Struthio camelus: one gene and its partners. The protein of the gene in region 1 purifies or fractionates together with the protein of each later gene. This does not show direct contact. Links are inferred from orthologs where the notes say so. Each region holds a gene or a part of one and is shown in the gene's direction. Other genes may lie near its edges.

What was found.
Region 2: the proteins of NDUFAF4 (region 1) and NDUFS3 purify together in Homo sapiens (affinity purification with mass spectrometry; 3 studies listed by BioGRID and IntAct, counting the BioPlex papers as one, with this or other methods). This does not show direct contact. The link is inferred for Struthio camelus from reciprocal best matches to the Homo sapiens genes NDUFAF4 and NDUFS3.
Region 3: the proteins of NDUFAF4 (region 1) and NDUFAF1 purify together in Homo sapiens (co-immunoprecipitation; 3 studies listed by BioGRID and IntAct, with this or other methods). This does not show direct contact. The link is inferred for Struthio camelus from reciprocal best matches to the Homo sapiens genes NDUFAF4 and NDUFAF1.
Region 4: the proteins of NDUFAF4 (region 1) and TIMMDC1 purify together in Homo sapiens (affinity purification with mass spectrometry; 3 studies listed by BioGRID and IntAct, with this or other methods). This does not show direct contact. The link is inferred for Struthio camelus from reciprocal best matches to the Homo sapiens genes NDUFAF4 and TIMMDC1.

The regions. Positions count from the first base shown.
Region 1 is NC_090944.1:53,380,011-53,387,169, reverse strand, and holds the start of NDUFAF4 (NADH dehydrogenase [ubiquinone] 1 alpha subcomplex assembly factor 4), read left to right. Parts: upstream 1-4,143; 5' UTR 4,144-4,147; coding exon 4,148-4,370; intron 4,371-5,144; coding exon 5,145-5,242; intron 5,243-7,159. UniProt on the Homo sapiens protein: Involved in the assembly of mitochondrial NADH:ubiquinone oxidoreductase complex (complex I). May be involved in cell proliferation and survival of hormone-dependent tumor cells. May be a regulator of breast tumor cell invasion.
Region 2 is NC_090946.1:39,014,610-39,021,748, reverse strand, and holds the start of NDUFS3 (NADH dehydrogenase [ubiquinone] iron-sulfur protein 3, mitochondrial), read left to right. Parts: upstream 1-4,133; 5' UTR 4,134-4,156; coding exon 4,157-4,202; intron 4,203-4,300; coding exon 4,301-4,366; intron 4,367-5,014; coding exon 5,015-5,112; intron 5,113-5,372; coding exon 5,373-5,522; intron 5,523-7,057; coding exon 7,058-7,139. Other genes in the region: KBTBD4 (kelch repeat and BTB domain-containing protein 4), read right to left, coding at 1,111-1,731, 3,938-3,956.
Region 3 is NC_090946.1:41,250,041-41,257,592, reverse strand, and holds the start of NDUFAF1 (complex I intermediate-associated protein 30, mitochondrial), read left to right. Parts: upstream 1-4,541; 5' UTR 4,542-4,664; intron 4,665-5,220; exon of another isoform or gene 5,221-5,324; intron 5,325-5,448; exon of another isoform or gene 5,449-5,603; intron 5,604-5,942; exon of another isoform or gene 5,943-6,205; intron 6,206-7,552. Other genes in the region: RNA polymerase-associated protein RTF1 homolog, read right to left, coding at 1,355-1,465, 4,155-4,406. UniProt on the Homo sapiens protein: As part of the MCIA complex, involved in the assembly of the mitochondrial complex I.
Region 4 is NC_090942.1:106,494,764-106,501,613, reverse strand, and holds the start of TIMMDC1 (complex I assembly factor TIMMDC1, mitochondrial), read left to right. Parts: upstream 1-3,832; 5' UTR 3,833-3,901; coding exon 3,902-3,978; intron 3,979-4,228; coding exon 4,229-4,394; intron 4,395-6,780; coding exon 6,781-6,850. Other genes in the region: POGLUT1 (protein O-glucosyltransferase 1), read left to right, coding at 93-249.

The DNA.
Region 1 (7,159 bases):
CATGGAGAGAATCAAATATTAAACTATGTCACTACAGTATAAGGGATTCAAATTTTCCTCTGCCTTAAACACTGGAACTTCTGAAGACTATAAAATGACGTAGTGAACATCATCTGCCTCCTCTCAAAAACTGTCAAATTGAGCATCCATTACTAAAAGAGATTCTTATTTCACCAAGATTACTTTTCCTCTAGACTAATATTCTGATTCCTGCTTTTCTGAGTAGTAAAGAAGGCAGAGAAACCTTGGTAGCATCTCACAATAAATCAAGTTAAAGGTCAGACATCCCCTTTGTCCCTTACACAAAGAGAATCTGCAACAGATCAGTCAGCCTTTTTTGATGTTAATTAACTAATAAAATTAATTTTGGACCTATTTTTCATTCAGCTATAGAACCTGTCAAGAATGAAAAAACAAACAAAACCCCACAAATTAATATCAGAACTGGCATGAAAAACTGACAGAAAGGCTTCAAGAATGTTTGCAAATTTATTTTTATTCTCCAAGTGCAGAACAGTTTTAAGAAATGTCTCCCTCGGATGTGGGAAAGGAGGCAGCCTATGGCACATATATATGATGCCAGTTCCAGTATTTATCTCTGAAATGTTTGACACTGTCTGCTGTTGAAAACAGGTTGCTGGTATAAATGAATTGAGTTGAATATTCTGTGTTGTTCCTTTCCTGTGTTTTGTTATTTTTAAGTTCCCTGGAAAAATTCATACATACATACAGTTTTTATGCTTTGAGGAACTATATGGTCAGTTTTTTTAAGAACATACACTTATAGACACGTGATAGAAAAGGATCCCAGGCTTTTGGTTACTGCTACTTAATATCATCAATATGGTTATATTGATAAAATGCTGAATGATCAAACAATTTTTTAAAATCCCAATTCTGCTGCTGCTACAGTCTAAATGAAAGAGGAAATATTATAACTCCAGAATAAAAATCTTGCACTTCTGATCCTTCCTTATACATAATAAGGACAGCTTTGTGCCATCCTCAGTGATAGGAAGAGACAGGCAGAGAATGACATCACTATTTTTAACTGTCTGTCTTCTGGTGAATTTATTTTGCTGTCAGTAAATATTACAGCAGTGTTAGTCACATTCTGGCTTTACAGAGACAGAATCACTGTGCTGGGTTTGATCCTGAAAGCCAACAATTCTTAGCTTTTGAAGGAGCAGCATCTTTATTTCCAAATTTGTAGCAATGCTTGCATGCACAGACAGAAGAGTAAGAACATGTCTTAGAGAAATACTAAAGTACACATCAAAGGTCTACAGCCACCAAGAAAAAGCATCCATGTGAATTTTACCATTACATTTACCTTCACAACACCGGATAGGCTACCCACCAGTAAAATATCAAACCCCATGCTCCAGAACATAGGCAAAAATCAGCCACTAATTGACTACTGATATTTAATTAGACACGCCATCAGCCTGATTTGCGATATAAAATCTCATAGCGGGTTCCACATTCCTATTATCAGTACACATACAATGCCTAAAATAGGATCAGGTTGGTTATAGGGTGAGTTTATAAACAGAGAGTAGAATTTAAAGAGATGCTTCTATCCTTCCCCTATAGACAATGAGAGTCTTCAAAACGTGGAAGTGAAAAAATTGCCCCTTCAGAACTCTCGAAGAAGGCGCAGAGGAAGTACAGATCAACCTTATGCTGCCTTGCCCTCATTGCCTTTGTGGATCTATTTGTTTTCTTCATCCACCTGCTTTGTCTTCTGAATTCCCTTTAAGCAAAAGCTGTCATTCATTATGCAGTATTCCAGCACACTGTGGCCTTAATAGCTACTGCATCATCACCATTATTACTAATAGTAACGCTGCTACTTACACTACTAACAGGCATCCAGATTTTGCATGCACACAGTGATAACAAAACTAGATGGATGCCAGGACAGAAAATAGGTGTCTTCCTCCTAGAAAGGAACACAGACATTGGACCTTTTAACTAGCCTTCATAGCACTGACTCTTAGTTACTTGATTCAGGCAACTATTACCATGCATGAAGAAAGTCTGCAAACAGGATATAAACAACTCAAAAGTACAAAGCAATTGTGTATAGGCTAAGACAAACAATAGCTAGGATTAAAAAGTCAGTAATACGCTTACCTCCTTTGGTAAGCTACCCTCTCAGTCTGTGTTTGCCAGGCAGTCATCGGTCAGACAGAGAGGGGTCAGCCTTTACTGCTTCATGTAACACTAATCCGTAGTGTTGCTGTTTCTCATTCCCTTTTGCTCTCTCGGAACTTTATAACTTTTCATAGTTATATTCTTCCTCTCTTGAATCCTGAAGCTGCTGGCTCTATCTCAAAAATTTACCTTTGTCTGCAATTTTACCTTTCTTATGTTACTCAGGACTAAGTACTTTCTCACAGCTGTTTTTCACAGTTTAGCAATTTTCTCAGAAGTCAAGGTTGAGGTGATTCAGCTGGGCTGCATCAAAGCTACGCCTTGGATCACAGAAAGCTAAAAAAGAAAGGTTACACCCTAATCAAGACCATAGCTTAACAGCATATCATAGCTCACAAACTCTGAATGATACAAAGGATTTGTTCTCCAAATTGCCGTGTAGGGTATACGTTCTAGACTATATCTGCGTAGAAAATTAATTTTCTGTCACTGAATAAAGCAACTATGTGCTAGTAAGGAAATGCTACACACACTAATGACAGAGTAATAGTAAGATGAAAAACATCCTTAAATATTTCCACATTATCATTATTCAAGTAAAAACTCCAAAGAGAAAACATGTAAGATATTTTAAATTGGCATACTAGTTGATAACAGTCAGAAAAGAAAGTTGAGATAATACCCTTTCTACATGAGGATTCATCATTCGGCAGTATATGTGGTGTCACATGATGACACTGTATGTTGGAGGCTAAAATGTGAAAAAGGAAAAAAGGTGCAGATAATATTTTATACATTGAATGGCCCTCTTATTCGTGCTATCAGGGCCACTCAGTCCGTTTATAAGCTTTTACATCATAAACTACAGCTTGTTGGTGCAGATGACATGTATTTGCCTGATCCGTATTTTCATTGTCTGGATTACACTACCTTCTCCTAACAATTCTCTTGAGGTTTAGGATGTGCACAGGTAATAACCCTGCATATAAATCAAGTGAATACACTTATAAAGTAACATATCTAAAAATCATCTATAAAGCAGCAATTCATATGTCTTTTACCAAAATGCTGACACAGCTGCATCGACGATTACAACACCAAGCACGGAAACCCTAGACTAGCCTGCCACCTTGAGGATGTTGCCAACTTTACCCCAAAAGAAATCATGCAGCATTGGTTCTCCTTATACTGAATATTTGCTTTAAGTTTTGGTGATCAATGTATTAAAAAAAAAAAATCCTATGTACATCAGTAATATTAGTTATATAATAAACCCCACTGAGTTACACCAGACCAGTCATGCCCATGAATGCCTACAACAGGAAGATGTTCTTCCCAAAAGACGAAAGATACCTTAAGATATATGTCGCTGTTGCATGAGAGCATTAGAATTGCACTTTTTATGCACACGTACGAGTTCCTGAAAGAAAAGTGCGATTTTCTCCTCAAAAGAAACAGTAACGCATCTCCGTTCTTGCAGCAATGAGGGAACATCACTCTTTCAAAAGAGTAACGGAGATTTTAAAAGCACAACAACGTACGCACACAGCACCATAGGGAAAGCATGTTCTCTGTGTGGGCTACCGGCCAGTTTTAAGGACGAATTTGTGCACTTAAGTACGCCGGTAGGGTGAAAAGCGCCGCCGGCGCGCCGCCCGCCCGCCCTGAGCAGGGCAGAGCTACCTGCGCCACGCCGGCGCGTCAGCCATCTTGACCACCGAGGCCCACGCACCTGCGAGCGCCGACGCCACAGCGATAACGCGCGCGGCAGAGGAGAAAAACGGTCGAGTCACACCGTGAAATAAAAAGCGATTCACCCTGCTTGTGATTCACACTTTGCCTCAGTACCTCGCCACGCACCACTGGACTCTTACATGGGGAAACCGAGGCACAGCCACGCTCCTGCCGCGCCTCCCCAAGGCGGGAACGGCAGAGCGGCCCCGGCCTCCCCCTCCCGTCCGGCGGCGCGGCGCCCAACCCGGTGCGCATGCGCGACCGGCGCACCCCGCTTCACCCCGCCCCTGGCCGCTGCCGCCGAGTTGCGCAGGCGCGGTGCGGTGCGGTGCGGGTGGCTGCGGCGGTGATGGGCGGGCGGGTGAGTCGCGTGTTCCGCACCTTCAACGTGGAAAGCCGCGCCCGCCGCGAGATCAGCAAGGAGAAGCCCACGCCCGCGCCGCGGCACCCCACCGCGCGGCTGGACGCGCTGGCTGGTGAGTCCCGGCAGGCAGGACTGCCCGCGGCGGGCAGCGAGCACCGGTCCGGCGGAGCGGAGCCGCGCTGCGGCCTCGAGGGGACGGCGGGCGGCGCGGAGGGAGGGTTGCGTTGATAAGGCGCTAGGAAGCACGGCGATGGCGAGCGGGCAGCCCGCGGCTGGCCGGCGGCGGGAAGAGCCGGGCCCGGCGGCGGGTGACATTGAAAACGGAGCGGCCGCGCGCGGGGCACGCCGGGAGCCGCTGTGGCGGCGGCGGTTGGGCGGGGCGGTTGCTAGCAGCGGTTGCTAGGGGCGGCCCCAGCGGTGCGGGGCTGCGCCGCGCCGCGCGGGGGGCGGTTGAGCGGCGGTTGGGCGGCAAACGGCTGGCGTTGCCCTTCGCCCCGCTCGCCTGGGCCGGCTCAGGCTCGTTTCGCGGATGTCGTGAATCGCTGGTCCGCTTCGCGGGCCGCTGGGGAGTAGCGCGCGTGTCTGGAGTGAAGTGAGGCCGTCGTACGGGTTACAAACGAGGGGGGTTTTATCGTGCTGTTTAGCGCCAGGAGTTATGGCAGCACCCCTGTTTCTCGGTGTAAAACAGTACTGTTAATGTTAGAACTAACGCAGAACTGAAATCTGCCTGAGAAACACTGTGTATATTGAGGCTCTGTGTATTGTGATGGCTCTGGGGAAGTGATAAGGCTGACAGAAGTAATGAAAATGAAACAATTTTATGACTCGGATCTTTCTTCTCTCTCTCTCTCTCTTTTTTTTTTTTCCTTCTCCCCTCTGCCTTTAGACCATCCAGAAATACAGGAAGAAATTTACAGAAAGGATGATAGGCTCCTCACTTTGCTAAAAGATGTTTATGTTGAATCTAGAGGTCCACCTGTGCAGGTGAGTATGTCTCGCTGTAGGAAGCATACGAGCATCAGCTTTGTGGTTTTTAGTCTCAACACAAATCCTACCTAGTGGGCAGATTTTTCAAGAAAAATACTCTCTTAGTGCCTAAAAACTACCATTTTTTATAGGTAAAACTGATGTTTTCATTGCCCTTCTATATATCAGTAGCACTGACTGTGTTTGATGCTGAGTGGTCTTGAACATGTGACAGATTATGGTAATGTAACTTTTAAATTCTTAGTAGTCTTTAACCTCACAGTGATTATTTTTGGGTTTTTTTCACCTAAGTTAGTACTCCTGCTTCCTCAAAGCCACAAGGATAATTGGCCAGTCTTTTGGAAAAATGCACAAGATTTTGCAGACTTGCTAGAAGGAAGGAGACTGAGATTAATATAAAAGCATGGGTATGGTAGAGGATGAGAACAATAGTATCAGTAGTTTAAAAAAAAAAAATACTCCAGTGAAATGTTCATGTCAAACTACGCAGAGCCTTTTCCTTATGTGACTGAGGTCGTGCTTTAGTTAGGTTTTTCTGTATAACCTTTGGGATTGTTTTTTGATCAGTTTCCTCATCATTAATGGCTTCAGTCTTTGACTTGGAAGGCAAGGCATAGCCCTTCCGGTAATGTCTAGGCTCGGGTTCAGTCTCCTCTCTTCCACCTCATTGTGCTACATCTTGTGCTTTTTTACCTCTTGCGTTACTGGATCATTTTATTCCCGCTCCTTCATGTGGTAATAAAAGTTATTTGAACATCCAGCAATAAAATTCATAAGTCTCTCTGATTTACTGCTTTTATGGTGCCTTCCATTCAAGATTTAAAAACATCTTAAACTAGAAATGGATTTCTGCAGTTTCTCTCTGAAGTATCCAAGTAATCTCTATCCATTATTTTCGTAAAGAGATTAAGACTCTAACCTTGAAGCGCTAAAGATTTCAATATCTTTGGCTTAATTTCACTATCTTCAAACGCTTCCCTTTGTCAGGCTGTTCAGAGAGATTTGAGGAAAAGCCAAAAGCAGAATAGGTGTCTTAGTACTTGACTAAGTCTGAGAGCCTAGTCTGAGGTGGCTGGTGTGCTTGCAAGACTTGCTCTTGTAATGTATCTACTTAAAATTGTTAGGAAAAGTATGAAAAATGCGTTAGCAGTGAGGCTTACTGGCAAAACTTCATCCAGCAGCTTATTTCTTCCTTTCCTGCTATTAATCTGTATGCCTTGTGTGTGTATGTATACATATGTATGCATACACCTCCACATGTCTGTCTATATTAAGGGGAAAAACATACTCTCAGTTCTGAAGTAGCAGATATCCAGAGCTGGCTTATTTTATTAAGACGTTAAGAATTTGTTGTTATCTCAGTGTAATTTTAGGATGGCTTAGGGAAGGGAAATTTGATAACACATTAGCAAATGTTCTTTGTAATTTAGAAACAGCACGGATGCTTTAGAATCTTTTTAGCTTATGCGTTAATACAAAGTGTCTGTGGGCTAATCAGTGGCCATAGGCTATGATAATTTTAAAAGTAGTGTTTCTTGAGCTTGAAGTTCTTCACTGTATCTTTTCTGCAGTGTCATTCACTGGTAAAGTCCTAGTAAAAAGGAATATGAGGAAGGCAGAGCTGGTTTGAAAATGACTTAGAAAATGAAATGTGAAAGGACTTGGGACTTTGGGTATGTGAGCACTGCAGTAATCATGGGAATTAAATTGCCTATGGAGCTGCAAAATAGCTTTTTTTTTTTTTTGTCCAACAAAGCTTGTGCTGCAGGCAGAGCAAAAGAGGGGCTGTCTGCTAGTTACAAAAATAAGATGTAAATATGAAAAAAGGGAAGGAGAGAGAGAATGGGCTACAGTGATACCAGAAGGAGGATACCAATTTGTAGTATGATGCCCCCACCACGAATCAGTACCCAG
Region 2 (7,139 bases), on another chromosome or scaffold:
TTAAAGGCTATTTTAAGTCTCAAGGACAGATTTGCCAATATTCCAAAGAAGCCGGTCACCCTAGGTTTACGGGTGTAACAGCAAATACGGCATATGTGACACAAAGTGCAGTGATTTACCTGTTTACAGAGGTTTTTGGTTTTGTTATTTTTTAATTATAACAACAAAGGAGACTGCTTTGGGGTCCCATATCCAGTATTTCTGAATGTATAAACTTCTTCTACCCTCTTGCTTTCTCTAAGAACGATACAGAAATCCACAAAAAATGGAACTGTACTGCAGCATCATGGACAGGTTTTAAAGCCCTGGCTGTATGCTACTAAGGCAGCACAGAATCTTTAGGGATTGGTGGAAATTGGACTAAGATGTTGACGGGTTGACAGGTCCTTCACAACACTGACTCATTGCAACCTTTCCTGTAGAAGGCTAGTACCTTTACAAGAAGGGTAAATACTGTATTACTTAAGATTTCACAATGCCTCTAGTTGAGTCACCTGAGTGTCTAGCCTAAATAATCCTAACAATTAGATACAATTGGTAATAACACTAACAGAAGTCTAGAAATACAGCTTGTACTCAAGCCTTCTTGGAAGTTTTCAGTTGATGCATTACTATGTCAAATGATAAAGAATGAAAAAAAAAAGACTTTCATAAGATACTAATTTTTTTGATAAGGCTTCTTTTTTTTTCTCCACTTTCCATGTAAACAAAAAGTCACCAAATTGTTGAAGATTAATAAGCTGTGTTTAAGACATCTATAAGCGTGGATTCCTTGTTCTCACAAAAACATGCAAGATTGCGTGCTGCTTACCTGTTGCCTCAGGAACTGCTGGGAATTACCAGCATCCTCTATGTTCCTGTTAAGTCTTTCCTTCCTAGGACTCTGCTTTATAGCTTAATCGCTTTATGACCAGTGTTGGTTAACAGTTTTCTCTGATGAAACTATGGACAATGTTTTGCTTTGCTTAGCTAAGCCTCTGAACAGACAGTGATTATGAAAGCTTGTATCTTTCCATCCGTCTTGGTTATTCAGTCCCTACCACACTCTCATACTACAGTCTCAAGTCTCTTTCCACGTTCACATTCTGGCTAGTCTCAAAAACTCCTTACCTTTAAGGATGTCTGTCAGTAGGCGGAGAGGTAGGTGTAGAAACTCCTCTGTGTCTTGAAGTTGAGACAAATGTGACTTGGCACAGTGTTTGGCAGCTGTGTAGAGCTCCATGTCACTGTGTTGATCTGCTAACCACATGACCTGCAGACAGTTCCTAACCTGCACCGTACGGGCCAGAAAACGTGAGCATTCTTCAAAAAGGGCAGTCAATTGGTACATGTCTGCCACTTCATAGGTTTCTTGCAATTCCTCTGCCCTCAGCTTTACAGTCCCATGGTAAATGTAGTCCACAAGGAGCTGAAAGACACTCTCGCTAACATCCTGCAGCTCAATCACCCGGTTGTGGGCCTCCTTCAGGTTGGAAGTGAACATGGAACGAAAGAAGCAACTCTGAGCCGAGAGGACCAAACGGTGCAGCTGGAATTCTTTACCTTCCACTGATATTGTAACGTCAGCAAACAGCTCATCCTCCAAGCATAGTTTCATAATGCCCTGGGCCACGCGGCCTGAGTGGGAACGATCAGTGAAGGTGTAGTTCACAAAGTAGTTCTCTTCTGTGGAAGAGCCTCCAGTCTCTTCTGATGAGTCCATGGTGCTGCACAGATCAGACCTCCAGCAATCTGTAAAATCGCAATGGTTATAAGACCTTCTCCCTCCACTAACAAGATTATGCAGTAGTCCAGGGTACAGGGGAAAATCAAGGATATCGGTAAGAGGCCAGCGTACTTTAGACTGAATATAAATAGTGCTGCCAGAAACTTCTGCTTGAGCTTCAGAACGTCAAACAACTAAAACAAATGAGAAGCTGGCATGTTTAAAATTATGAAATATACCAAACTTCCAGTACAGTCCGCATCACATCCCAGCAGAATTAGAAGACATAGACATCTTTTCACCGCTCATCTCACTGATGCAAAGACGTGCCGCAACAGCTATTCAGGTGGAAAATCCAGCAACCACACTAGAAAAGTGGCAAAGCCAAGAGATTGCCGCAGTAGTACAGTTGTGCTAGATGGAAGAAAGAAGGATTACAGTATTGTACTAACAAAGAGCAGAGGCAGCAGTTCATATCATCAGCAGGAGCCAATTATCATCCAAAAACAGCATCATGAATTTTTGCAGTGGTATCAAGTACAGCAAGTTTGTTTTTACCAAAAAAAGAGGCATAAAAAGCCTACCAGACATCACCACCAGTCCTTCAAACTAACCAACTGAAAAGCCTACCAAGTAACTGATGGTCAGATGCAGTTTGCTAAGGTGCCAGACATCTTCAATACGCAAAACAACATGCTAGATGTTGTTAGCCACTGTTTCCCAAGTGGCAAGGAGAACTCAAATGGCAAGATGATACCTCTTAGTAGGAAACAGAGATTATTTGCAGAGCTCCTAACAGTTTGTTGGTAGAGAAAGAGGCTTATGACCCAAAGAAGAACTGCTGTAGAAAAGAGCTTTTCTTTAACATGGATCTTGACTGCATTAGAAGCAAATAGATGCCTACCTGCATTCACATTAAAAACTTATTTTTAACCTCAACCATTAGCCATAGTCACTGACAGCTCAAATTGCTTCAATTAATACTGAACATGACTTCTATGCAACATCACCCAGGGACAGGATTTTATCCTACAGATTTACCGTTACTCTTCCATGCTTTATTTTGTCAAGGGTGCACTTTCTTACCGTTGGTCCACGTGGTACAGGAGGGCTTCTAAATTTTTTACTAAAATTCCGTTCACGAGAGGTAGCTTCTGCATCCCTAATTGGCTGGACAGCTCTTTCCCAGCCCTGATGATTGCCTGCCTTAATTATGCACTTTTCCGCCAGGCTTTAACTATTATAGAATATCTATACGTTAAGCTGTAAGAGACTAAGAAATTGCCATCAGCGCAGAATATCTCAATACCATTTTTCCAGCAAAACATGTTTCTGCAAGCACAAGCCTGTCATCCACATTAGCTCCCACTTCAGTTCCTGCTCTTGATCCTTACATTCAAGGTACCCAAAAGCCAAAGCGCAAAACCCCTAAGCGACTGCCCAAGGACCAGGATAAGGATGAACTAACAACCTGCCCCCTTAGCACAGGGGAACCGTCTGCCCAGGGAGGCCTGCACAACTTCCAAGGGACTGAAGCCAAGCCACGAAAGAAATGCCAACAGCAGCTAAAGGCTACCGTAGATCTCGCGTCCCCCTTTGTAAACAAAAAGCCGTCCTTTTCGTCCATGATTTCTCCGCTATAAAGAAAGAGAAGTACAGGAACATTAAAAACGTCCCATGAAACAAAAGTTTACACTCCACACGTTCCTCGTGCTAGAGAAACAGTGAGCTGCAGTATGCCTGGGATTATGCAATGACCTAACTAATAGCCAGCACACCTACTTCTTTGCTTTCTCCTGAGGGGCTCACAGATGCCACGACAGCTAGTGGGGTCAAAGAAGTGAAATACAGAATTGCCAGCAACTTAGGGGAGGGGGGGGAAAAAAAAAAAAAAGGAAAGCTAGTTCTCGGGAAATCAGGGATTACCATTAAGGCCACTTTAAAGCTACGGAGAGACGCACAAAATCTAAAAACGCCCGAAGGTTAACTAGTCTCTAGAGCAGCGCTTTCACCGGGGGGATCCTTTAGGCTCCCGCCTCCTCACCCCTAGCAGCGAAGACATTTTGCAAACGTCGTTACCCGGCTTGGCCGCGGCGGCGCCGCCTCCTCGGCGGCCGGATTCACCCCGGCGCCGCGGCCGGGTCTGGCCCGGGCCCGGGCTGGGCTGACACCACCCCCCCCCCGCCGCCCCCCGGGCCCGGCCGGGCCGCCCCTCGGGCCCACGGCACCCACCTGCGGCGCCTCCCTTCATGCCGCCGCCCCGGAGCCTCCCGCCGCCGCCGCCGCCCCGGGGTGCCCGAGCGGCTCCCCGCGCCCCTCACCCTGCGCCAGGCGCCGCCAGGCACACTCGCCACTTCCGGCCACCGACCCGGAAAGGCGCCGGGTGCATCCGGCCGGCTGCGCCGCCTTCCGCTTCCGGCGTGTGCCCTTGCGCGTCCGTGCCGCGGGGGGATGTTGGCGGCGGCGGCGCGGGGGCTGGCGCGGGCCGCGCTCCGAGGTGAGGTGAGGGCGGGCGGGCGGGAGCTGCCGCCGCCGCCGGGCTCGGCCGCCCCTGCCCCGGGGGGCCGCCTGAGCCGCGTGTCTGTGTGTCCGCAGGTGGCGCCGGCCCGGCGGCGGCGGCGCAGGCCCGGGCGGCGGGGGGCTCCGCGGGCGAGACGCGCCGTAAGTAGCCGCCCGCGTGCCCCTCTGCGCCCTTTCTGGTCGCGCTGCCGGCTCCGCGCTCTCCGCAGTTGCTCCGGGGTCGCGGCTCGGTAGCCCCTCCGTGTCACGAGTCTGGCCTGGCGAGGAAAACAAGCAGACAAACATACAAGGTTGCCCAAGAGCAGTCCCGAGGTGTTTGGGGTGTGAGGAAGCTGCCTGGGTGCCTGCGCATCACAGGAAAACATGACCGTTGTGTTTGCAAAAACAGCCTGTTTCTAGATCCAGCCTGCGTATCGCGAGCGTTGTCTAAACTCAGGTTGTTGCAGCGTTTCTCTCTCTTTTTCATCCTGCTATTTTCTTTTGTCTTGTTGGACTGTTCACTCCTGCTGTATTTGCAGTGCACAAATAAAGCTTGTTTTCCTTCCCCCCCCCCCCCCCCGGAGGGAAAATGGTTGGTGGCCCCACGGCTTAGCATTGATGTGAATGTGCTGTTTACCACATATATTGATATAGTCTGATCTCTGTTCTAGTCCACTGTATATTCCACTATATATATGTTATATTTAGTTACGTTTAGTTGGAGATGGCCCGTAAATGAGCTTCGGGTGGCTACTCTTCTTTCTGTAGCTTACTCTGTTGTAACTTTGAGAACTTTGTTGTTCTCTTTAGCTACTGTCAGACTGAAAAATGAAGTAGAACAGAAGCAGCTATGTGCTTTTGGGGAGTACGTGGCTGAGATTCTGCCCAAGTATATCCAGCAAGTACAGGTAGGTGCTGTCCATGGAATTGCTCTTGGGAGAGGACAAATGAACGCGCTGTTTCTTTGTTAGATGTGAGAGGTTGTTTTGGGGAAGACAGATTGTCAGAACTAGATAAAAGCTACCGCTCTTGTTGAGTCTCTTTACTTGATGTCAAGTATGTGTCTGCTGTGCCACGTACACTCCTGGCTGAAGTGTCCTGCTGGATTCAATGCAGTGCTCAGTCACGTTAGTGTCTGTAATAATTCTCCTTCCACTGTTTTCTTTAGGTGACCTGTTTCAATGAACTGGAGCTTTTGATCCATCCAGAAGGGATCATTCCAGTTCTGACCTTTCTTCGAGATCATACCAACGCTCAGTTCAAATCCTTGGCTGACTTGACTGCTGTTGATGTTCCATCTCGACAGTATCGCTTTGAGGTAAGAATTGTTTGTAGGTACAGGACGCCGAAACGCGCACAAGTGCTGATGGTTTTGGATGCTGTTGCAGCTCTGACCACATTCTTTGCTTTCTGACAGGCAAACAAATCCACGCTGAAATGCTGGGTTTTGTTTAACCTATTGATTGTGGAAGCAGTACCGTAACTGATACTGCACTGACACGCTTAGTTAAATGGGTTTGTAGCCTGAATGGCTTTCCTTTTGTGCTCTACTGCAAGTTTCTTCTTTCTTTAAACACTTTTTCTGGCCAGGTATGAATTAGTACTCTTCTTTCTTCCACTTATGCCTGTCAGCTGTCATTGACAGAACCAGTCATGTTTTTCTTTAAATGCTACCAGTTTTCTCCCTAACAATTTTCTTTTTCTTTAAAAAAGATGTGTAAACCAGTAGAAGATACCTGGGGATCATGTGCTGTAGGAGGTTGGTTATGATTTAGGAGGAAGAGATGTCCTTTCCTTGCCCAGTTTGGGCAGGCTGTCTTTCAGGCGAGAGAAAAATCTGAGCAGCATGATGGTAGGCTTTTGGTTCCCAGCAAGTAACAAGGATGATGAAAAGTAGCTGATTTATTTCTCCTCCTGCATCTATTGTGTGATATTACATCACTTACCAATTGCTGCTCAGGAAACAAAGTAAAGGATGGCAGGTTTACCTTACCTGAATTACCTAATCAGAGGATGTCTGGGTTTTTTTGCCTTTTTTTTTTTCCCAAATATGGCTCTTTGCTTTGCTAATAACAGCTAACAGTTATTAGCTATTACATTAATAACATAACTAGTGTTAGGCTAAAATACCTGAGAGGTGAATAGTGTTTCATATCTCAGAGGCATACATTCTCTGAAGAAGCCAAAGATTCTTGAATTTGGGATTTTTCTTTCATAAATCAGAATAATAGAGTAATAGACATATACAACTTGATTAATTCACGTTTTCCAGCTACATGTATAAAGGCAGTCAAACATGCTATGTGATACCTTACACATGTTTTTTTTAACTCTGCTTGTTGTATGTTTTTTTTCTTCTACTGGTGGGTCTAATAATGCTCTTAAGCAGACTTTATCAGTATTTCATCACCACAATAGTTGAAATGTTCCCTGCTATCCAACTTCATTGCTGAAAATTGAGTGGATTTCCTCTTATCTTTCTCCTTCTGCGTGCTGAGTAATCGATAGCTATTTTCTTTGTGACGGATCAGTTCAGTGTTTTTTTTTTTTTTTTTTTTTTTTTAAGATAAGTATCCCTGTTTTTTTGAGCTCTTCTTTGTAAGTCATGTTTTCTGAATCTCTCTTCCTTTTTGTTACAATTCTAAGGACAAAACGGAGATAAGCTATTAGAGCCTCAGTTACAGAGTGTCTTTTAGTGCCCAGCTCTGAAGTGCTGATGTGATTTTGCTGGAAGAAAGTTATTTGAAATAGCCTACATGTCTCTCTGCTCAGCCAGTATTATATTGTGAAGAGATCTGTAAAGTCTGTACAAGACCAATGCTTTTTTTTCCTTTTCTTTCCATTTTGCTTCAGATTGTTTACAATCTCCTGTCTTTGCGGTTCAACAGTCGGATCCGTGTGAAGACATATACTGATGAGCTGACTCCTGTTGATT
Region 3 (7,552 bases), on another chromosome or scaffold:
TTTATTCTGTCAGTTTTCAGAGATAAACACAAGCCATAAGACTATCATCAAGGTGCTCTCCACACTTAAGTCTACATTTATAGACAAGTTGGTCTCCAAGCAGCTTAAAAATAAGCTGCGTGCTGGCAGATCAGAACACACCAAGTGACAGACCGAGCAGTCACCCGTTAACACACCTAATATCCAGCTCATTCATATCTTCCTCTCTCCTTATGTATGAAGTATGTATTAGATACAAGTCACTAAATGTAGTAACAAAACATCAGCTATTCTTTTTAAGAAGCTGACTGAAACAGTTGCAAAAGTATTTATTTCATATATCCCTCAGTAAGAAAACTATACTGTCACATTCTTTACAGGTGCTGAAGAACTCCCAAAAGCTTAGCACTTCATAGTTTATCTTTGACCTGCACTATTGGTTTTCAAGTTGCCACAAAATAATCTTTCCTGTAGTTTCAGATGAAAGAGGAGAGAGGAGAAAAAGGCAAAGAAAACCAAAACAAACTTCCTTGTTACATTTTTAAAAATGGATGGAATAAACAACCTCTCTGTATTGCATGGTAGGCTCACAGAGATGTCTCTAACACTTCAAGAAAACATTTTTATTCAAGAAGCTACGTGACCAATTTGTCAGTTCTCTGTTTTAACGAGTCAATTTCAGTTTTCACTTATAGATGAAAGCAGGCACTTTTAACTAGCTCTAGAACCTAACACCAAGAACCCATAATAGAAACATATCTAACAGCTAAGCATTGCTACAGAACAAATGGACAAAACCCTAGAACAAAGTAATTCTAAATTCTTGTTCTCCTCACTTTCTTCAAAAACACCAATAAAAATACACTCTGTTGCACGTTTGGATGATCAGACAAGCTACTTCAAAGTAGCTACTTTGATTCTCCAAGAGCTCTAAGTAGGACAGTTTTATTGCCTCTAAAATAGTACCACCTGTCTTAGCCCTTCTCTCCTTTGAGGAAGGAAGCTCTCTTCTAAAGCTCAAGAGAGAGAGGTTGTCTGCTAAGGGTCCAGCTTCAGCAACTTTGCTGCATCTTCAGCCACAGAAGCAACACTAGTTGCAGGCAAGATCACCAAACCGTTCAAAACATGGGATTAAACATGAATATGGGATTAAACAGGCAATCAACTCTGCTATAGACATTCAGACTATTTTGTACACAGTTATAATTTCTGGCTTGTTAATTAAAAGAAAAAAGTATTTCTGAGTACACTCCCCCTGGGCTTAATGGGCCTCCATCAGTTCCACTGAAGTCAGCACGCTAAATATACTTTCACTGCTTAGGTATGCTCAGACAAGTAACCCATAGTAAATTCAGTGATAACAAGACAAACTCACCTCATCATCACTATCTGATGTCTCAGAGTCTGAAGATGCTGTAGGTTTGCTCACAGGTGGTTCCTTCTCTTCGGAGTCACTGCGTTTCCGTTTGGCCAATGACAAGAGCTCCTAGTGTAAAAAATAAATAAATAAAAACGTATTTTAAAATGATGTCACTAGTTTACCAATTTGGGTCAGCACATATACACCTTCTCTGTGATATTTGAGCACGTCTCAGTAACACGATTATCCCCACAGACTAGGGAACAAAGACTACAAATGTTTTTAGACATCTACGTGCGCGTATACATATGTGTATATACACACACACACAATTTTAATATAGATGAATGCTAGAAAAGGATTTTGAAGATAACAAAACCTAAGTGTTACTGTCATTACTTTTTTGAGATGAACATCATGACAAGTTACCTTCAGATTCATGTCCAGGGCTATAGTGTTTGGAGCGGGCAATAAATTAAGAACAACCTAGCTACACTGTGTAGCATTAACATAAAAAAGCCAAAGGCTTTTTTAGCCTAAAAAAGCCAAAGGCATGAGACTCTGAAGAGTCTCGTGCGAGCACCCTAAATCTTTTTAAAAAAAAAAAAAAACCTGACACGTTTGTAGCACCCTTTAAACTTTAAAAGATACTTTGTTTCTCACGTCATGGCAGATACATTTAGTTAGTCTACTGAATTTCTTTCAACATCCCCTAAGTACCCGAGAATGCACTTAAAGCTTTGGATATACACATAGCAGGCATCAAGCTCAAAGTCTGTCAAACTAAATAAACCTGTTTCCTTCAAAAGAAAGCACCCTCAAAGGCAACACATAGCAGCACAAAGAACTAAATGGCTCACAAATAATCCCATCAGCTGCTTCTTCAGATGACAGCAGTAGTAGCATAAAATCAACACGTTTCTGAAGCTGCATTACTGTCTGCATAGTCTGTGAAACATGCCATATTCTTGAAAATTTATCTCTGGGGCTGATGAACCTGAGCTGCAAGCAGAAGCCACACCAACTTCTGCAGTCTTGGGAAGACAACACTAGATTGGCTTACATGAGTTGTACAACTGGAAGGTTATCTCCACAGCATTATGGATTAGAATTTAGCATCTCAAATGAGAACATAAATACTGCAGAAACCAATGGCCTAGGCTACTTACCGACAAAGAAATCTTCCACTAGTAATGGCATTTTACAAATCTCCCCCTGAAGACAACACAACATCAACAGTGCACAGCTCTCTTGAGGAAGCTCCTGATGTTTTCTATAATTATCTTCTAGACTTTCCCTCTTGCAACTGCCTCTGAATAGTCCTTCAGCCCAGATTACCTGCCTGCATGATATCTGGGAACATTTACCACTATTTTTATTCCAGACAATTTTCCTTTGTTTGCTTTCTACTCTTGTTCTTTCTGTTTTTCAAGACACTGTATTCAAAAGGCTCCTATTCCTTTGGTTCAACAGGACAAGATGGCTACAGAAAACTGTCAACTATTTAACCTGCAGGGACCCCACTTGGCATACTCTCCTAGTCAAACTGCAGCACAGAAACATCTCTTATCCCTGTACCTGCAGGCCTCTGCTGCAATAGTTGCTACAAACAACACCATGGAGGAGGAAGCATAGACAGGCAGCTTTGATGCCACAACCTACTATCCAGGTACAGCTGCAGAAGCATGTTTTCAGTGAACATGGGAAGAGATGGAGAACCAGGCAGCTATTCCTACCATCATTGTTCTCCTTCCCAGATCTAATCAAGGGCTAGTCTGACTCTAATTTTCAGGCTCTAAAGCAACTACAGAATTAACGTACCAGCAGCAAAAAGCTGACAGCCCTAGAGACTGAAGTGGGATGTAGTAAGATCAGCATGATGAGGGCATACACCATTCCAATAGATTTGTCTAATAAAGTCTCCAATTTGACTTTCCTAAAGCTCCAAGTAGCAAAACTATTTTCAAGCGTCTGTGTTTTTGCAACACAGCAACATCTTCCATATTAAAAACCTTTAAGGTCCGGCACATAAATTATGTCAGATACATAGGCTTCAGTACATTTAACCAGCCAAAGCTCCTCAGAGGACAAGCGCTGCTGGATGGCCCACAACATACTTCACCTATAGTGTCTTTCTTCACCATTGATATCACATCATGGATGACTGCCACACTTGGAAGATAAAAGCCCCCTCCAAAGACAGGGACACCCCCTTTGGAGCCCTGACATGACTAAAGTGATGCCAGACACCGTATTTCCAGTCCCAGGAGAAGCCCTGATGATAAGTAAACGCTTCCCCTTGCTACATCTGCAGGCTCCTAACCTCGAGCAGTCTCCCACCGATGGCGCTCCCCCAGCACGCAGCAACGACTGCCCCAGCAGCCCGACCGCCCCGACGGGCAGCGGCGGGACCCGACACGCTGCTCCCCCCGCGGGTGCCCCGGCGGGCGGCGGCGGCGGCACAGGGAAGTTGCCGGCGCCGCGCTCCCGCCGCTCCCCGACGGCGGCGGGCCAGCAGCCGGGCCCGCTCCCGCGCGGCCGCCGGCATCGCCCCACGGCCCCGCCGCGGCCCGCCAGCCCCGCGGGCCGCGCCGCGCCGCCCCGCCCGCGCCTCCCGCTCCGCCGCCGCGGGCCGAGCCCCGCCAGGGCAGGCCAGGCCAGGCCGGGCCGGGCCGGGTCTCTCCCCGGCGGCCCCGGGACACCCAAGGGGCGCGATCCCGCCGGCGCGGCGCGGGCCCGGCCGCCCCGGCGGCGGGAGGATGGCGGCGCCGCGGGGCGGAGAGCCCAGGCCCGGGCCTCCCGCCGCGCCGCGCACCTGGTCCAGGTTCTCCTCGCTGCCGCTGTCCTCGGTGTCGGAGTCGATGAGGACGCGGCCTTTCCGCTTCTTCACCATGGCGGAGCCGGCCCCCGCCGCCGCCGCCGGCGGGGAGGGAGGAGGGCGGAGGAGGGCAGAGGGGCGCGGAGCGGAGCGGCGCGGCTCAGCGCAGCGCGGCGCTGCGCGGCGCTGCGAGCGGCCCGGCCTGCCCCGCGCCGCCCGCCCGCCGGGGACACAAAGGGCACCGAGCATGCGCAGCGCACCGCCCCGCCCGCGGGGGAGGGGCCGCGCCGTGGCGGGCGGTGGCGCGGGGCGGGGCGGGGCGCACGTGCCGGAGGGGCGGGGTCTGGAAGGGGGCGGGGCCTGGGGCGGGGCCCGCCCACCGGCGGGGCGGGGGCGGCCGCGAGCGTGCGCGGCGGTAGCGGGAGGGGTGGTTGCTCCTTGAAGCGCGGCCTGGGCTGTCAAGGGGAATTACAACGGCCCAGGCGAGACTAGCTACAGGTTAGAAAGGTTTGTGGCCGTCTGCGGCGAGACAGCTGCTCTCTGAATTCACAGGAGGGGAGAAATTCCGGGCAGGTCGCTCTTACAAGGGCTTAACGCAGAGCATTCCCCTGCACGGTGCGGGCTGAGGGGAGGTTTTTTTTGCTGCGTTTTATAAGCGTGTTAAATCCGTTCTTCTAGCTAGTTGTGAAGAAGCCTGTAGGCTATAGCTTAGCCTGTAAACTACTGTAGGTTAGCTGCAGTTTAAACGCAAAATAGGGAGCTGAGCTGTAAGGTGGCTGGACAGCTGCAGTGTAAGAGGCTGGAAACTATACCGCTAAGATGACTAAGGATGGATGTTTTAAAATTTGTCAGTTCAAAATCCAAAAAAGTTTCCTTCATTGACTTAAAATACACGCGCAAGTGTAGCACATGCGGAGGATAGCATATGCGTAGCGTAGCAGTACAGGGCAAAAGTAGTGTTTGAGTTTATCCTAATAGGTGATGACATCAAAATAAGTGAGCTAATAATTATGTTTGTGTCTGCCTGTTTGTAATCCCTGGAAGTAAAAGCTTTTAATTGCAGTTTGGTGGTTGTCAGGCTGAGGGTGGTGATTAAAAGCAAGTAGGAGGAGCTTGGATTTCCAAAGCTCAGCTAGCCACTGGCATTCGTGAGGAAAATGCGATAAAGTAAGTCTGAAGACACTGCAGTACGCCACTTAAAAAGTATGGGTCTCCGCGCCCTGCCCGTTGCTGGTGCTGAACGGGAGCGCGGCGCTCTCTCCGGGGAGGCCGCCGCCGCCGCCGCCGCCGGGCCGCCCCGGGCCGCCCGGAACCCGTGCGCCGCGGCCGCGTTCCCCGGCGGGCCCGGAAGCGGCGGACCGGCGGCAGGTGAGGCCGGTCCCCGGCGACGCCCCAGCGGACGCGTCGTCCCGGCGGAGCCCTCGGTTACCGAGCGGGGAGCTCGTGGTCCGTCCCGAGCTGAGGGCGGGGGCGAGTTGGATTTGGGGCCCCGCCCGGGGGGACCGTTGGGAGGGGGCGGTTGGGCGCGAGGGCCCCGCCCGGGGGGACCGTTGGGAGGGGGCGGTTGGGCGCGAGGGCCCCGCCCCGGGGGACCGTTGGGAGGGGGCGGTTGGGCGCGAGGGCCCCGCCCGGGGGACCGTTGGGAGGGGGCGGTTGGGCGGTGACTTGCCGCCCTCGGCGCCGAGGGGAAGCAGGGGCAGGCTGCAGCGTGCCTGGGAAGGAGTGAGGAGTGCGGCTGTTCGAGAACTTTGCTTTCTGTCGTGTGTGTTTTGGGGAAATGTCTAGGCAGGGCTCAGACACGGGCTGGATAACCTCCCGGGATAACTTCCTGGACAACTTTTATATGGTTCGCCCTCGGCGCGGAGGGTATGGAAGATTGTGCATGTGTTTTCTTTTTGAGAAGCTTGCCTCCTTTCTTGCTGAGTGTGAGGGAGAAAATATGACTTCCTTCAATGTAATTTTAGGCTAGAGTGCATAGCTTAGCCTGTAAAAGATCAAGCGTGGAAAAGGAGAACAACAATACTGACCTCTGTCTGGAGTGAAGGAAGGTATTTGACAGATAGGATGAGAATAGAACATGGTTTGCTGCAAGTCTTTTTACAGTGTCGGCTAATATATGGCTTGTTACTCGTAGCTTAGATTTATTATGATCAGGTGACAGACCTCAAAAAGACATTTTGCAAGTGTTTCTGGAAAATAGTACAGTGCTACCACTACAGCTGGTCCAAGATGCAGACTGATTATAATTGATCTAGCTTTCTGATGCATGCTATGCTGTGGAAAGCAAGCTTCATCTCTCAGCTCATGTTGCAAGAAAAAGAGATAGAGAAGTTTAAAAAGGAAATGGGGGGGGGGGGGAGGATCAAAGAACAGGAAAGGAACATCCCACCGCTGTTCCACAGCGGTGGTAACAGAATTGTATGGGACTTCCAAGCTCAGAAGATTTTGTGAGTGAAGGGGGGAGTGAGTGTATTTTGCAACGTAAACGTTCTTAAGGGGAATGAATAAGTTCAGAGGTCCAATATGACACTTCCATAATTTGTCTTGAGTGACGACTCCTTTCTTAAAATCTTTGAGAAGATGAACTGATTTGGCATTGGTTTTGGATTTATTGCATAGCAAAAAAAAAAAAAACCCAAGTAACTAGCAAGGCTAATCTTATGAGCTGGAGATATAATAGCTTCTGTACAGAGCATTGAATATTAAGGCTCTCCATTATCAACTAGAGAATAACTGGGTGGCATGGCCATTCCTACCAGCAGTGACTCAGGGCAAAACAAAGAAAAGACTTTCAGATTTCTCAGTGCTTTATCAAAAAAATAATTGAAATACAATCTTTTGTATTAATGGTTGTGGTCATTTTCATTATTTGCAAGCCTTTTTGTAATCCAAGAGGCCCCTCAGGATGGAAGAAGGAAGTACTATGATTGCTACAGGACTTAAGAATTTTCAGATGCATAACATGTATTATTGTCTGTGACTATCAGCTGAGACTGTCCTTGCAGTCCATATGGCACTAGGGTCTAGCTGCTGTGAATTTGTCATTTTGTTGTAGGGGATATTACTTTCCAGCTATGTAGGTGCCATCTTTTAGAAACATTTTTTTTGTAAGACTGTTTGTGCTACTAACTACTTATGTTACTTAAACTTACTTATAGTGAATGGATAAAGAAGAACTGGGTTTTTTTCTGTCTTCAGTTTTATTTAATGTATTTGACTTAGTTTTTTCCTATTTTCCTGGGTCACCATGGGGAGAAGACATAGGGCAAAAATCACTGAATAAACTAGAGAACTGAGCAAATGTAATACTTGAAGTTATATTTGACTCCTTTTTACAATGGATTAGATTTCTAATTGATGTTCCTTTTTAAAATCAGTTTTACAAGCATTCAGTG
Region 4 (6,850 bases), on another chromosome or scaffold:
AGAAGAGTGAAAGTTGGTATACATATAAAACAAAACCATGGACTCTTGTAGGAACTGGAAGTTGGTTCTGACTGTGTCTTGTGTGTCTCTAGGGGACGCCAGTTCATCACTGAGCACTTGCAGATAGAGGATATCTCTTGCTACTGGGAGCATCTGCTGTCTGAGTATTCCCAAGCCTTGACTTACAAAGTGAAAAGGAAGAACAACTACAACGAGATTACTTCAGAACGACTGAAAACAGAACTGTAGAGACTTTGGTGGTTTTCTTTTCAGCTCAAACTGATCTCTGTGGAAATCTAAAGATCAGTGTACCTTCTTTCTTGTCCTCCTGGGCTTATTATCCTTTACACTAAAACTACAGAGAACAGCAATAGGCTAACTTTAAAAGTCTTCCCGTACAGTGGGACCCACTTAAACTGTTGCCATAAGACCATTAAGTAGACTGTTGGATAATGGGTACTTAATGGAGTGGTTATGCTGGTGCCTGGAATAGGGTAGTAAGCGTTTGGGACTTTGTTACTACCTGTCTTTGCCTCAGAATAATCCTAACTCCCATCCAGTCAATGCGGGACCTTTTCTGTTAATTTTACTGGACTTTTCATCAAGTCCTCTGTAATTGTGGACAAGGCGCAAAGACTGTGAGCCCTGCTCAGCTGGGAGATACGTGCCCATTTTTGGCAGATTGGCAGTGTTTTCTTACGTGTGTGATGGCATTTGGGACGTTATGCGTTCCCTGACAGAAGCAGTGACTAGGTTTTGGGGTAACCTTTTTAGATAGCTTAAGACTTAGTTTTCTTTTCGGAAGTTTATGTCAGGTTTCTAAAGCAAAGCTGTAATGGACAGTTAAAAGGACAAGTTCTCCTTGCACACATAAATTACCTACCTCATAGGGGATCCAGTGGTGGTGATGATGCTACCACAGTGCTAAATCTGAGTAGCAGACAATGGCAACTGACATAAAGACAGTCCGTCCTCTGACAGATGAGCTTATCTGGATGCACGCACAGCTATGCAAAACTGAGCCTCTGCTAACAGGCTCTCGCCAGTCCACTGGCCAGATGTCTTAGGACCCTTGGGAACCTAGGGAAAGTATTTGCAGGGATAGATTCAGTTCTTCTTTGTTCCAGATGTTCACAGCGTCTTTGTTCTGATCCCTTTCTATAATCTTTTCTAGTTCTTTTTTTGAGGCTGGTAGCTCCACTGCTTGCTTCAGCATTTGCTTTTCTTTCCCCCAGCTGTTAGATTCCTTTTCTTATCTCCTTCAGACTGGTTTAGGAAATGTCTTCAGTCACACAATGGCAGCTACTCCTCACATTATTCATTTTGAGTTCGGTCACAGGTTGCTTGTGCTGATTAACTGATTTATACCAACTAACGGCTGCTCAGCCCATAGTGAATAGAATTTTTAAAATGTTTTGTGGTCCCTGTGTCAAGAGGGGCCTGGTGGAGAGCAGCATGTTCTCTGGCACCCAGAGAAATTCAGTTCCTCCTGCTTGTAGCTTGCTCAATAACGTCAAAGCCTTGCATTAAAACATTATGTTTCCTAGTGGAAAAGAGCTAGGCATTGTGCTGCTTCCTGACCTGGCTGTCTAGGCCCCTTTAGCTGTTGAGCCGTTTGCCCATATGCTTTGGGATCACTGCTCCTTCTTGTGCCACAGATTGTCTGCATCAGCGGGGTCAGTGACCAGTGGCCTAAGCATGTCTTTTGGGCATGCACCTGTCAGTCGGGCACAGTTCTTAGCAGAGTCCTCCCTAAGCCTTCAGAGGCCTGACTGCAGAGAAGCAACTGCTAAGACTAGCCTGAAACAGAGCAGTGTAAGCTGCAGTGTGGGATCCCGTGAGGCGTCTGCATCCCAAGTGGGCGCCCTTGCTTATAAAGGGGCCTCATGTCTTAGGAAGTTGCACATTAATGGAAGGGAAGAGCGAATGCTAGCAACAGCTCATAATCTTCTCCACAGTCAGTTTGGATCAGAGAAGAAGAAAATGTTCCAAAGAAAAGTAACGCTAAGTAAACATACACATGCATGCGCTGACGAGGCCTTAGCAGCACTGCCAAGCTCTGGTACAGGGAAATAACTGTCAGACATATTAGTCAAACTCCAGTTGCTGGAGCAACATACCAGTTTCAGGACCACTGTCTGGGTTATCCCAGTGTACAAAGAAAACAAATTAGGGTATTAAAACAGTTTGTTTTCTGAGGGGAAAAAACTGTAAGAGTGGAAGGGGTTTTCTGGTTTTGCATTTTTAGTCAACAAAGAGCAACCTGAGAAATTGAAACGACTATGTAGAATATTTTAAACCATTTTTAATGAAGGGCTTTTGGATTAAAAACAAAAAAGTGTTGTTGGATACATCATTTTTTAATCTGAAGAATAATTTTGTTGTAATAAAGATCTGGACAACCACCAGCTGTTTCATCTAAGAAGTTGAAATGTGTCTTTGCTTTTTCTCTTTGATGGTAACATTTAGGGTGTCTCAGTGGAGTGGATGAAAGAGAGAGCTCTTCCCACCTAAGTCTCTCCTTAAAGTCTAGCTAACGGTGGCTAAAAACTTTCCACTGGTTGTTCAATAGCCCGTGTGAATCGGTACATACTTTTCAGTCTACTTCCTTTTTCACATTACTAAGACAGCCATAATTAATAGGGCTCTCAGCTGCCGGTCTTGGCAGATGGGACAATGCCTGAACGGGCAGCGAGATCGCTTGGAGAGGTGGTGAGCCCTTCCTCACAAGTAGGATTTAGATAAAGGATGGAGTGGTATGTGAAAGCTGTTCTGCAAGTATGGTATTTGTACTGCTGTAGTTCTAGAGACTAAAACTCAGTTCTGATTTAACCACTGCACACACAGAAAATAAAAATCTGTAACCTCCCATCTAGTTAGCATGTAAAAAACAAACGGATAAAAACGAGACCAGGCAAGGAGGACCAAAAGCAGGAGGCTGATAATGGATATGCTTGGCAGAGGTCTCAGCATGCCAGCTGACTAACTTTTTTGCATCATTAAATAGAAGAGTTGGATAGATGATCTGGAGAACAGGGACCGTGGCGCAAAGGCAACCCCAGGCACCTGAGTAGGTGCTCCAGGTGCACACAGGCAGCAGCTCGGAGAAAGCAGTGAGGTGCTCCTTGGAGAGCAGCCGCCTCAGCCCTGCGGCTGCACCGCTAGCAGAAAGTTTCTGGTAGCCCGAGGCATGGCAGACGAAGCGGAGGGGAGGCCCTGGCAGCAGATCCTGTTTTCATTATGAAAGATACCACACTTACTTCATGTGGTAGAAAACAGGATGGCAACGAAGGGATTAAAGGAAGAGATGGTGAAGGAAATCAGTCAACAAAACCCGTTCTCGAAGCAGGATTTTGAATGAGCAAGTGGGTCGAGACCTCTGAATGCAGGGTATCAACGTTTTTCATTCAAAGTGTAAAGGAAAAAACGTGCCTTAAGCTGCCCTGGGACTGGTGTGAGCTGCAGCTCAGGGTGCAGGAAAGCACTAACCACTGCCTCTGTGGTGCCTGCGGTAGTTCTGGGTACTGCGTGGCTCAGGTTTCCCCGGAACTGCCCTCTTTTATTTTCAGAAAGAAACAACAGGCCTGAGGGTTTCGTTGCTTTCTTTTCCCCCTCCGCACATAACCTTTAATCTTGCCGACCCGCACAGCGACCCGCGGTAGGCGGAGAGGCTGCGGTGGGCGCCTAGGGCCCCAGCAGCCGGCTCGCCCTGCCTCCGCCGCGGCAGGGCGCCGCCAAGCCGGATTTAGCCCTTTGGCTCTCCTCAGCGATCTTCACAGCTTACACGTTACAACCGCGAGGGCCCGCAGCCCCGTGTGCCGCGCCCCGCCGCGGGGCAGGGGGCGCTGCTGCCGCCAACTGCCGCCAACCGCCGCCAACCGCCGCCGCGGGGGGGACGGGCATGGCGGAGGGGCTCGGCCGCCCCGCGCCGCCGCCGCAGAGGGGCTGGGAGCGGCTCCGCGAGCTCTGGCAGCGCGAGTGAGGGCCGCGCCGCGCCGCGCCGCGCCGGGGGGGCGGGGGGAGGAGAAGGGGGGGCGGCCGTTGCGGCCCTCCTGTGGGCGCGGGGCTGCTTTATTAAGGGGTTTGCGAAGGCGTTTTCGGGGTGCGCGTCCGGGCGGAGAGGCGGTTTGAGCGGACGGATTTTGGGGAGGGAGGGAGGGGAGCGCTAAGGTTAGCGCCGCGGCCTGTGACCCCCTCCCCATCCCCCTTCCCCGGCCTTTCTTTGCAGCGAGCGGCAGCAGTTCCCGGAAGAGACGGTGAACATTATCAAATCGGCGTTTTCGGGGGGCGTCATTGGCTGGGTGTACGGCGGGCTGCCCGCCTTCCGCCACGCCAGGAAGGAGTTCATCGCCCGCAGCCACGGCGAGCTCTTCCAGAACCGCGTCGACGCCGTGGTAGGGGCAGAGCTGGCGCCGCTCGTCCCCCCCCCCCCCTCTCCCCGGGCACGGGGTTCGCCCCTAAAACCACCCACCCCGCGGGGAGGGACCGCGCTGGGGCAGCGGCTGAGGCTGCGGCTGGGGAAGCGTCGGGTGTTGTCCTCCTCTCCGGGGGAGGGAAACCTGCCTCGAAGACGCCGTTTGAAAGCCCTGAGTGGGCTTTAGCTGGGCCCCCTGAGGAGGAGGGTGCCCTGGAGGGGGGGAAAAAAACCAAAACAAAACGAAATCAGGTTTTTATTCCAGCTTGGTTTGCCTCTCTCACACCCAGATCTACAAAGACAGCTAGGAAACATCCGTTTAGAGAAGGAATATGGTGGTACTAGACTGACTGGGAAATGCGAGCGTGTCTGCAGAGAGACGCCCCTGTGTAGCTAGCTTGGGTTTTCAACAGTTAGCCTGTGGAGCCTGTGTTCACGCGGTGCCACCCTCCCAAAATGAGCCGCTCCTCAGGAGCGAGGGGAGAGCTGAGCGGATGAGCATCGGGCTGCCGGCCACGTACCTGTTGGTTCTTGACCGGGTGACGCTTTCGGGATTCCCAGTGTTAGGCCGCAGAGATAAAACATGAATGTAAAAGTCGGAAAATATAAAGGTCTCAGTTGTCAGGGTTCGATGGTTTTGTTTTGTTTTCAAACTGGGCTTCACTTACTGGCTGCGGCCATTGTAAGGTCAAAGCACTGTATGATGTACCTCATTAATAAGATCAGAGTGAAGAGGGAGGGGGTAATTTCCATTGAAAATGAGATTTTAAGGTTTTTTTTTTTTTTTTTTGAACCTGCTCTTCCAAGGAAACGAGCAGCATGTGATTGCAGTTCACTCTATCTGCTTTGAGCTACGTTCAACCCTGAACCAACAACACTGCATTGCTCTGGGCAATTTCATTCTGATTTGACAGGGGCTAGAGGTTTCACAAATAATTATATTCCTACAGTGTCATGAAAGTAGACATCTTGTTGTGATTTGGAAGTGCCCTAGTAGAGAGGAAGGCTGCACTGCAAGCATGCAGAGACAAGGCACCTTGTAAATGCTGCAGCTGTGCAAAAAGTTTCCGTTGGGACCTGCAGTTTGTGATGAGATGTAAGCCAGTAGGAGACCAGGCTTCTGGTGCTGATGAACTTGTTTAATAAGATGCACAAAACACAAGGGTGAGTGCATGCTTAATTTTGAAACCCAGTTACAATAATGGGCAAAATACCAAAGTGTTTGCTTTATGTGTGTAAATACGTATAGTCTGTGTAATCACCTGTTGTGTTGTGAAAATTAGCTATTCAGTTATACCCAAATTCTACGTTTAACTTAAATTGTCCTTAATTATAGGAAAATTTGGTAACAATATTTACATTCTATTAAATGACTAGTTAAATAACTTCTCTTGAAAAACCTTTTGGCTTTTAAATTTTAGCGTGATGGTGGCTGACCACTCTGTAGTGTCAAATTATCAGTCTCCTCTTAACTTACTGATGTTTTTTGTTTTATATGCCTGTTTAAAATATAATTCTTAAAGCCTATCACTGCACCTCACCATGAAGAACACTTCTGATGTTTCATAGAGGTATTTGGACTTTTGGGGGTTTGTTCTTCAATTAAAGTGTTAGTAGCCTGGATTATTAGAAACAAAAAACTTATGCCTGGTTTTACATCATTCATTATTTAGATATGGCTCCTGACTCAGCTGTTGGCGAAGTATCGGTATCTGGCTTCACTCTCTCCTTCTACTGACTTTTCTTTTGTTTTGGCACCCAGGCTAAGCCCTTATACCACAGGCACTGGGAGAGAGAATTTGGTTATTTTCAATAGTATTAACTGGAATATTCTTTTAATTTTTATGAAACTTCTTTTTATTGCATCTTTTAAAAAGCCTATTTTATAGCCAGACTTTCAAATACCAGTGCTAAACTGCAGAGTTTGAGGGTGTCTTTGATGGGTTACTGATGTGTTTAATACATATCAACTAATAATAATTACGGGCTAGTTTTCAGTTTGTCCCTCCTTTCTTCTCCTCTTTTATGTTATTCTATTACAGCGTAAAAAGTGCTTCCTTAGAAAGCTATCACTGTCCTACCAACTGTGCTCAGCACCATGATTAGGAAGACCAGTTGATGTTGCAACTGAAATTAATTTTTGGTTTTCCTGTTGATGGCCTGGGGAGGAGCATGAGCTGCTTTTCCTTTCAAGACAATCAACTCTGTCCTTAAGGGTCAGGGTTTCGTTCCCAACATTTTGAGGGACATCAAGCCCCATAGCCATTGTGAATACTCCGTATCATCCTCTTCAGAATACAGTGGACTTGTGCTGGCTGAAACGTAGCAGGTCTGAGATCTGTAACCTTTCTTCTCTCTTACTCTAGCAATCAGCTCACCGTGCCGGTCTCAGGAGCTTCATCCGCTATGGCTGGCGCTGGAGTTGGAGAGTAGCTG